Arabidopsis thaliana: one gene and its partner. The protein of the gene in region 1 interacts with the protein of each later gene in a pairwise test. Each region holds a gene or a part of one and is shown on either strand. Other genes may lie near its edges. The genes, in order: AT1G22490 and ATO.

What was found.
Region 2: the proteins of AT1G22490 (region 1) and ATO interact in binary tests that used the Arabidopsis thaliana proteins (3 or more experiments, as listed by UniProt).

Annotation. Positions count from the first base shown.
Region 1 is NC_003070.9:7,937,860-7,942,313, forward strand, and holds AT1G22490 (basic helix-loop-helix (bHLH) DNA-binding superfamily protein), read right to left. Parts: upstream 2,767-4,454; 5' UTR 2,631-2,766; coding exon 2,193-2,630; intron 1,727-2,192; coding exon 1,184-1,726; 3' UTR 738-1,183; downstream 1-737.
Region 2 is NC_003076.8:1,861,825-1,868,372, forward strand, and holds ATO (splicing factor-like protein), read right to left. Parts: upstream 4,610-6,548; 5' UTR 4,475-4,609; coding exon 4,301-4,474; intron 3,872-4,300; coding exon 3,758-3,871; intron 3,289-3,757; coding exon 3,184-3,288; intron 3,075-3,183; coding exon 2,932-3,074; intron 2,829-2,931; coding exon 2,732-2,828; intron 2,306-2,731; coding exon 2,156-2,305; intron 2,077-2,155; coding exon 2,005-2,076; intron 1,722-2,004; coding exon 1,563-1,721; intron 1,466-1,562; coding exon 1,259-1,465; intron 1,183-1,258; coding exon 1,036-1,182; intron 946-1,035; coding exon 799-945; 3' UTR 501-798; downstream 1-500. UniProt on the Arabidopsis thaliana protein: Splicing factor homolog to SF3a60 that may be involved in pre-spliceosome formation. Is necessary for gametic cell fate determination.

The DNA of each region.
Region 1 (4,454 bases):
CACGAATAGTTAGTTATACATGTGTGTTATGGTCGGCTAAATGTTTTTTTTTATAATAAAGATACAACCTTGTATATCAAATTTTTTATTTTCAATTTTATTTTCTTGGGTTACTAGATAGAAAGAATTTGTTTGCATTCAAAGCCAAAGGTATAACCTCCACTATCGTAGGAGCATGCTAAAATTTAGTGATTAACGGATTAAAAGTTGAACCCACAAACTTTAAAAGTTCTAGAAAAAGACGAATTCATCTTTGAAGAAAATAAATTCAAAAATTAATCAATCATACTATTAATCATTATAATTATACACTAAACACAACCCTAAAAACACTGAGAAGTACATTAGGCGTAGGCCTAACGGCTATTAGCGCCCAATGTCACATACTTATCGACTTAAACCATTTTCTTTTATTCAATTTTTTTGTTCAGATCTTTATGACCATTGATTCATTACAAGAGACAAAAATGCAACTTACATAGGGAGGATTAGAGGAATAGTGAAAAAAAAAAAAAATTAGAAAACTGATTTCAGTTATTTCAAAATAAAATAAAAATAAAACAAGTTAATTATAATCTATTTGCTGAATTATGTCTCTTCTTGAATCCTCCTTATGGTTTGATTCAAAGCTGTTGCAATGTCGTCCACGGTATTCAGTTGGCTTCCTTCTTCAACCTGAACCAACACATTTTCTCTTAAGAAATAAAGATATACATAACAATTCTTGAAAAAAGTTGCAACAAACAAAATTAGAAGGATGTAGATAACTATAACAAAATATCTTTCTATTTGCTAAATATCTCCTGAAACAAATGGTGGACTCACTTCGTTGTCCGTACATATCTCATCTACAATTATGTGACCACCGAACATATATCCACAGTACATAAACATATACATAAACATATATAAATACACAACACCACGTATACAATTCGTGGATATAGATAGACACATATTCGTGTTTCGTTTCTTTAGGTTGGTCCCCTGATTCTTACAGGCACGATTAAGATACGCAATTTATTATTGACAAAAATAATAATCAAAATGATGATTATGAGTTTGACCCACAACTATTGAGGCCCCAGCCCTAAGTACCCAAAGGAGGTAAGAAAAAAACAAAGAGAATGATTTTAATTTTTCTTCACAACCTTTTTAAAGCCCAGGCATAACCACAATAGTACTAATCCAAAATTTCCCCCCAACAATAAGAGACAAAAAAATAAATCAACAAAGTGAAACCATATGCACCACACACACAGTCATTACTCACTTTAATCTCATGATTACCCCAAAAGCAAACAAAGTAATGATGAGAAGTTGAAAATGTACGTACCCTGACGCTGATGGAGTAGAGAATGGAGTTGTGGAGAGTGGTGACATTGAGATGAAGAAGAGTGAGCCTTAGGCTTTGTAAAGAAGTTATGAGCTTAAGAAGCTGCCTCGGTTTCTTCTTCGTCATTATCTTGATGTTCGCATGGCTTTCTGCCACCGTAACCTCTATCTCCGCCGGTGAAGATGAGCTTTCCGGTACATCTGATGATGACTTTGTAGAATATTGTGGGAAGCTGAAAAAATCTGTGAATGGACCCACTAACGAGCTAGTGCTAGTCTTGTCTCCTTTGGGATCATGAGTCCTAGTTCTCTTCGGCTCCATAGATTGTAAAATATGCTCTAACTCCTTCACGTAGTTTATAGCTCCTCCTACTATCGACGCTTGATCTCCCTTTACCACCAAAACCCGCTCATGTCAGATCATATAGTTATCATAAAGATTGAAAAAATCTTTGAATGTATAAATATACACACACACGTATCATTGCTAATTGCTTAAGTTTATTACGAAATTGTTCTAAAACATATCCCAATATTCTCAATCATACTCGTTCTAATTTTTGGTGACACATAATATTTTATTTTAAAAAATACATTAAAATATGTAACAGCAAAGATTATTAGTATGTATATAAACGCGTCACCCTTCCATATTTACGGTGGATTTTCTTGTTAATATATTGTATAAAAACATCAATATATATTCTCAGTCATTTTCATTCTATTCTTTTGTGTTAATATATTATGGAGAAATGAGTACTACAGCCAAGCAAGTAATAAAACAAAGACACATATACCTAAGAATGACCCTGACCAAATGATATATAGCATATATAAACATTGAATTAGTAAGTTACTCTTTGAGCATACGACGACGGCATTAGAGAACGGAGCACAGCCAGATACTCGTTCATCTGTTTCCGGCGATTTCTCTCGACGGCGATGTGAGTCATTCTCTGGTTCTCGATCTCTTCCTTGTTCTTGCAGTTTCTCGTTCTCCTCCTCTTCCTCCGGTGCTGTGGAGGAGGATGACTCTCCACATCAATGGCGGTAAGACCAAGCTCTTCTCCCAACGAAGGGATCAACAAAGGATACTGATGATAGTCTCGCCATTGATGATCGTCCTCCTTACCTTGTTCCACAAAGCTCTGTTCATGCCCTAACTTATCAATGTTGTTCTTCGTATCTTGAGCTACGAACTCTTCTTGAGAGTATAAGTCGTGGAACATAAAATCTTTGCAATTGGAGAGATATCCGAATGGATCTTGCGGGTATACGACAGCCTCTAAGGGCATTTTTTAGCCGGAGATTGTTGAAAAGAAAAATTCAGAATTATGGAAAAAATAAGAAAGATTGAGAAACCGAGAGAGGGAGAGAGAAGGAGAGAAAACAAAATTTAGACAGGAAGTGTTTGTCGCTCTCCTTTTTGTCTCGAGGGGGAAATAAAGGCAAAAGGGTTAAGCCCACTAAAGGAAACTAAGCATGGTATTAGTTATATGAAGATTTTTTGTAAATTGATTTACAAAATATTAAATTCTCAAGAACTCACCGGCATGGAGGAAGAATAGGAGAGTGAATCTTCAACAAAAATAAATATACAAAAGAAAGATATGAGAGTGAAAACCGAAATATGAGGATCAAACAAAGTGGTGTGATTTATTTAAAAAGGGAATTGAGAGAAGCTTTGTGAGGCTATTAATTTTTTTTTTTTTTTTTTTGATGCTCTCACAGTTGACCAAAAATAAATGCTCCCGCAGAGATCAAAAACGAAAAGAAAAATAAAACTAAAGAAAAGATGTATTTGTCACCAATATATATATAAAAAACACTGAAAAGGAGATATAAAGTGCACTTGTAATAATCATCCCAATTGTATTTAAATAACTTGTTCATAATAATTAGAGGTTAAGAAAATAAAGAAAAAAATTGTTCATAATGTTTTTAATATAAATTAGTTTTATTATATAGTAATTTTATTATTAAGATGTTAATTGTTTGGAACTATTCCTAAAAACCCATAATCTTTCTTAGTTCAAAATCAAATAAATAATAAATAATTTATTAAGAAATGGTAAAGCTGATATAGTGGGCAGTGAATTTATATTGACGTTCGAGTGAAAGAAAACTGGTGCTGGACTGCTGGTGGTGATCATAACCAGTTAAAACCTCTTTCGAGTTTTTCCGAATATGTATAGTGTAAGGATACACAGATGGTGATGGCTAAACTACTTAAAATTCTAAATATAGCAAAAAATTAATAGAAAAAACAATAGTTCGTTAGTACTAATATGTCATGTTGCGGATTACTTTAACCAAAAAAAAAGTTACGGACTACTTTAACAAATTTTTTTGTTGCGGATTAGCGTTTTCGCCAAAAAAAAATTAAGACGTGCAATTCTACGTCAGTCGGACAAGTGAGTGATACAATAAAACGAAAATGTGAAATTTTCAATTGGACCATAAAAATTCTAAAGCATTATATATATACAGTTACATGCTACTTGTAAACAAAGTTATTTGAGTTTCCAGTTAGGACGGTCTACGCCAATTAATTTTTAGTTCTACGCATTCACATCTGGTAACAATTTTTTTGGTTTGAAAATTAAAATTCTACCAGATATTACCTTAGAATATCTATCCAACTTCGTGGAATTAGATCCATTATCTATGGTTACTAATTACTATTTAGATACATAGATGCATATAGATAAATGTATACATTGCAGCGTCAAGTTTGCACGTGAGATAGTAGTAGACCAGTCCACAAGACCAAATAATCTGTTTGCAGGTTGGGGGTCGTCTAGTTACACTCATGTTCTATTATTTTACTTTAAACAAAAATATAATGTATTTCCATATCAAATATATGGTTAAGTATCCGATTAAAATTAAAAATCTTTAAAACAAATGTTTGTCAGAAAATACACAACCAATAGAAGATTTATTTTGGCCGGTGGGGATCACTTTATGTCAGGTTTTAACAAATTTGTTTCGTGATGTTATTAAAAATATATTTAAATCGAGATATTTACTTGCATGTTATAAAATGATGGTCTATTAAAAATCTTTTGTCACTACTTTTCAACATCAAAAACCAAAAAAGTTATGTATATAAATTA
Region 2 (6,548 bases), on another chromosome or scaffold:
CTAGTCATCGAATGAGGCCGTTGGACTGTAAATAAAAAAGGTAAAGCCCATCCCAACTTTTATTTCTTAATTAAAATTTTGGAATATGATTAAGAAAGGAATATTTCATTATTCTTTCCAAAATAGCAAAATGAGATTGTATGTTTAGGTTTTTTGAAAACAAATAAAATTTGAAAGTCTTCGTATATGGACATATATCTGACCAAAATCAAATATCTGTGTATTTTTCAAAAAAAAAAAATATCGTAAATAAATATAATAAAAAAAAATAAAGGTAAACTATGTGATAGCTTACTTTAAAAAATTTGACAGTCGTATGAGGTATTGAGGTTGTATCTGTTTATTTTGATAATTTTTATAAAGTTTGACTCAAATTTTAAGTTTTATCAAAAAAGGAACCAATGATTTGTTAGGAATTGGATAATTAAGGAAATTAAAACATTCCAATTTTGTAAGAATATCAAAGATCAAAAAATTAGTTCAAAATTTGTGAGTACACTATCATCTGAAAACTTTAGTGATTGATTCTTACATGTAGTATCCTATATTAACTCATATCTGTTTCTTGTTATTGAAGTAAAGTCCTCAACTATTCCTTACTAGCATTGTCCATACAAAAACAAATTTTATATCCTCGATTGTGATAGTCAATTCAAAAACATAAACTAAATACTGTTTTAATGAGACGAAACCTCACAAAAAGATGACGAATGGTTTGATTTTACAAAGGCGAAAGGTAGAATATGGTTTAAAGGGATATAGTAAGGAGAGAAGATTTCATCAAGAGGATGTGATCAATCAGATGAGACCTTGGCGTTGAAGATCAGAGTAAGTCTTCTTGTTGTAAATGTTACCTTCACGATCTTCATATTCTTCTTCAAGTTCTGGCCTCCATTTGTTCACTCCTTGCCTCTCCTGTATCCTCTTCCACAATTCTTTGGCTTCCTGAAACAAACCAAACAACAACAAGATCAAATTACCAAACTATTTACTACTTTAAGCTGTACAAAGTCTTTGATCATATTATATTATTACCTCAATCGAAGTGATTTCGTTGAAGTTCTTTGTGTTTGGGATTCCTAGGCAACGCATTCCGTGTTGGTGTCGCCATTCTTTAAAATGTCTCTCAAAAGCCCTTCTTCCCCAATAGCTATAGTTCCCACATATCTCGCATTTAAACTCCTGCGTAATAACAAGAAATTTAATGTGAATCTATGTTCCTTTGATACAACAATGGTCTCATAAATAAACTACATACCTGGCCAAGGCCATGAAGTTTGTAGAGCCAGTATGGTATAGGCTTCCCATCCCAACCTATTGGTAGCTTCAGCGGATTGTAAATCAAACCGTCCTCGTCATCACTTTCTAATTCGGTATTAGCTTCCTCCCCTTCACGTTCTCCCTCCATTTCTTCATATGTCAACGACTGTTTCTTTACAATGTTTTGTTTTGTCCTTTCGATGGTCTATAAAAGGTGACAACAAGAAAAGTTAACAGAAAAAGTACAACTAGATATCTGGGAGGGGGAAAAAAATGTCACTATGAGCTTTCAATCAACTAACCTCATCAAGTAAATTGCAGAGTTTCTTCACTTTGGCCTCTGTTAGTGCAATCTCTTTAGCATTTTCAGACTCATGTGTTGATTTGGCATCTCCGTTTTGTTTTCCGTTGTGTGGAGGTCTGGCAAAATGTTTCTTATCCAGCTTTTCCAAAGGCGTATGCTGTACAAAAATTGAATTAATTAAGGGAATTAGATAACCTCAAGGTAATAAGAAAAGCTTCAAATAGAATTCAATCCCTACAAAACATGAACTATGACAACAAAAGCCTTAGTTTCATATTAGAAGAAGAGCTGAGCTGAACTACCAAACTAGGTTTCATAACAGCTAAATGTTCCTTCCAAACCCAGTAAGAACAACAAGAACGCGGCTACTAATTGATAAAAGTACCCTCTCATAAGACGAAACTTAAAGAAATAGGAGATTATATAGCAAGTGTAAAAACCTTTGTCAGGAAAAGTCTCTCGGCACGCTGCTGCGGAGTACCACCAACCTTCAGTCCTAATGCCCCCAATGCCTGAATGGCATACAAAGAACATATGATTAGGGGAATATGCTTCAAAAAGGATATTAACATGAAGTAGTATGGTCATTACCTCTTTTAGCTTTTCAGGTCCTACATCTACCAGTTCCTCGACTGTACTGTAGTAATCAAGATCTATGACAGTATGCTGAGATGGAATAAGTTCATTATCCAGGCCTTCTACTATTCCATCTGCATATTGCTCTTCAAAATCAGAACAAACCTGTAAAAGAACCAAACATATTAATCGCAACAGATCAAACAATAGGCACAGCATTGGCCAAACTAGAACTACCAGAATGTCAAACTATAACATGGTTCAAAACCTTCCGAGGATATACAATCTCTGCACTTAGAGCAAACTATGCACCAATGAATATTGAATACAACCATCTAGTTATGGCCATTTATTTTCCAAAATTATGTATTATCTCCAGGGGGATGAAAGACTCACAAAGCAACCAGTTGTTAGAACTAAGGAAATCAAATCCAAAGTTCTACACTTAATACTTGGGAAACTAGTAGAAACTTCTTAAGCACGAATAAATATACCAGTTATGTACTAATGCATAGTTCGAAACGCCCATAAAATTTCATAAGGCAACAAGGTAAACGCAATAAAATGATAAAGAAAGGGAGGAGCTTAAACCTTAGAAAGTATCCGGTCAAGATCTTGCAACGGCTCGGTTCGCTGGAAGAAGTAGACCAGGTACTCAAGTAGAGCTTCCATATACTTCATGTATTGCCTAAAATGAAAAATAGCAATACAAAAAGGAAAGCCATTCAGCTGCAGCTAGAAAAATAATTGGAGGCTTTCTAAGTAAAAGAAAATTCCAATGAAGTGTTTACCTCGATAACTTCAGTTTACGCGGTATTTTCTCTGGTTGAGAAAAAACATCAAGGTAAGCAGAATATTCAACCCTTTCCCCAAATTTAGAGTTGATGTACTGGTTATACATATCATGCAAGTCCAAGTACCGACCATTGCCTTCCTGCGTAACAGACAAGAAGATTTAAGTATTGACAATAAAAAAGGGGCTTACAAACTGTTAAAAAATGCGTCAACAAATAGCAACAATAAAAAGTCAAGCAGAAACCTACCTCTCCACTGAACGCAATAATTGGTTCCTCCTTCAGGCGTGCTTCGTAGTCTTCATTAGCATCAACAAGACGTCCAGAAGGATGCCTTTTATGATATTCACGTATCTGTAAGTTTATAAAAGAAGTTAAATAGTTGCAGCTCTGATGCTTTCATCAGTGGTACAAGAAAATCAAATAATTCAGACAATAAAAAAAAAACGAATTAGCAATTTGAATCTTATTCAGGGTGTCCTCATGAAAATTTCACCGCCTTAATACTCTTATGCAAAGCAAGCCTTATACAGCTAACCAAATTGTTGATGGAACAGAACTAATACACTTTCACTGAGATTTTGTACATAATTCTTGATTCTCCATCACAGTGGTTCAAGGCAATCAATAAAACTATTTTTTTTTAAAAGATCAACAGCTAAATAACAATGTCTAGATTAACTAATAGTCCGGTAAAGTTAGCTGCTCAATCTCTAATATACAACCCACAGAAACTAAAGTAAAGCCAAGTCTTGGTATAGAGAACCATAGGCAAGTTTTAGGGAAAAAAGACCAAGGAAGGTGCAAAGGATAAAGAACAAACCTCTTTCAAACGATCGTAAAATTCACTAAACACATTTGTCCCTGTCGCAGTCTGGCCACCAAGCGCTGCAATCTCATCATCCCACGCCCCATCCTTATCTTCATAGGTTTCAACCTTACAACAAACAAGAATCAAGGTTAGCATTAATCCAAGTTTGAGTTAATTATCAACAACAAAAATTAACTCAAATTTGTGAAATAACACTGAAGCATGCTTAGCTCAAAACTTAGAATCCCTACATACACACTTAAGACCCCAACTATAACCTATATTCAACACCAATCTCTGAAGTTTCTTCTCAATTTAACACCCAAGCCAGAGTGATTCAAAGCTAACTTAAACCCCACAATGATAACCTAAAAAGCTAAAGCAATTAACAGAAAAAGAGGCAACACTCAACACGAACCTGTTATTTAAAAAAAAATCAGCAACCCAAGTTTCTCTGCTCTGATCTAACGTATTCAAAAGAGAAGAGACATAAAAACATATGCGGGAAATAGAAAAGAAGATTAAAAATTGACGAGAAGAAGAGAGAAAGCGTACAAGTTTCTCAGTGGTGAGCATAATAGACTCAATCATGTGACGAACACGATGTCCCTGGACCAATCTGTCCTTGCTGGACGGTGGCTCCTTCTGTAGATCTTCCACAACCAATCGCTCCAACCTTTCAACCTCTTCGTGATTGGAGCGAGTTTGCTCGAGGAGAGTCGACGACATTTTCTCTGTCTTCGAAGCTTTGAAATCTCCTTCTTCGCCGGAGTCTAAACCCTAAATTCCAGTCACTTTTCTTTTCCTCAATCCGAAATCTCGCCAGTAAAATTTTTAACGCCAATCCGAGAGAAAAAGATAATCGGGTGGTTTTTGTTGTGGTTTGGGTCGTTTAAGCCGAACTATGTTTTGGGCCTTTTTAGACGGTTTGTGTTTTAGGCCTTTTTTTGACTGTTAGTGTTTTGGGCCTTTTTAGACTCTTTTTTTTCTTTTATATTTTATTATTATTTTACTTATTATAAAAAAATCTATAATATGGTAAAATACCATTTGGTAATTATTTTCTTTTAAGATCTATTCCATTTGGTAATTTATATATTTTTTATCTGATTGCAATCCTCTTTTAATGGGAATACTCAAACATTATGTGTTTGTTTGATATTGTACTATACTTCAATGGGTTCATTTGCAAAGATGTTAACGGAGAGAAGGTTGTACAGAAAAAAAATGGGCAGTTTACAACCATCCACTATGAATGGCTTTGATATTGGTAGCAAACTAACACAAAATCAAGTCATCATTGTCAAAGTTAAAGAGTTAACAAGCCATTTATTCACTCTTTTCAAATTGAATTCATGATATCTCACATGATATAAGATTTGCAAGCTATCTCCTAATAGTATTGAGGTTTGTTGAGATGACATCTTTAATAGATCAATGGAAAGAGCTATATTTGGTTGTTTTCCTCAGGAAAGAGCTATATAGGATGATCATATATTCATATTGAACCAACGATGGGCATTTTGGGGTAAGTATTGCCACCTGACAACAAAATAATAGCCAATCCCATAGACTAATCTTATGACTTCTGATATTGATTTATGTTTGTAAAACCAAAGGAAGATCTCCGAGTGGACATACAAAATTGAAATGTCGTTAACAATTCATATTTGGTATTATTTTTTTTATCTATAAACAATTTTCCATTATTAGTCACTTCCATGTCCAAGCTCAAGAATTCTGTTTCAGGTGTTGTCTTTGAAAGATAGTCCATGCCAACATCGTTTACATATCAGTATATCACTTACTTTACGGCAAACTAAGGCAAACCATATTTCGATTAGTTCATGAGTCGCTAATTGTAACTTAAGGATATCAAGGTTGGAAGTAATTCACTTTGAAACATCACCATTTCGTATGAGTTGATCTTCTTAATAAAAAGATAATAAATACAGAGAAGCAAATGAGAGTTCATCGTAAACACAGCAAACCAAATCAAGAAAACAAAGCAAATATGGTTATTCATTTCAAATGGTGGAATCAGAATATCAATAAGCAAAAACTGGTACATGGTTTGATTCACGTTTGAGTTATATGTTCCTCATTTTCCACTATTCCATCAAACCAAAACAAACAATAAAAACTCAAACAAAACTTTTGAAAAGCGGCGAAGTCAGAGATGTTAAATATGCCTCAAACAGTTTTAAGCTCATAATGAGGAAATTACCCCTCATTCGCACATCTAATTGGTTCATCATTCTCGCCGTTTCATTGCAAAACCAATAAAAACAATGTATCCTACCCGATTATATAGAACGAGATACTAAATGAACGAAATTAAAATCTGAAAATCCTCAAACGCAAAGATCTCTAGCAGATAAAAGAGATAAACACTTATATCTGAAGAGTCAGCGAGAGAGGACCTTAATTCCAGATCTAATGCCGATATAAAAAAACTCGACCTATAATAAATCAGGAAGGTAAAAACTGGGTTAGTTCTTAGGAGAACCCTAATCAAAAACCCTTAATAAATTTCGATTTAGCGCAGCAATGACTCGACACGCTTCCATTAAGCATTTGTGGAAGGCGATCTTAAGGGCTGCGCAACGATTTAAAAAAAAAACGATAAATACGAATAACACGATTTAGAACATAAGCCCTAATATCTAAGAATTGGGGGTTATAATCGAAGATGCATTGTATATATAGTGAAGACTTGTTTTACCCTAGTCGAAGAAGCTTATCCTCGTTTATTGACTATTGGGCTTTAAGCCCATGTTATTTTAAGCCTTATAGGCAAAAC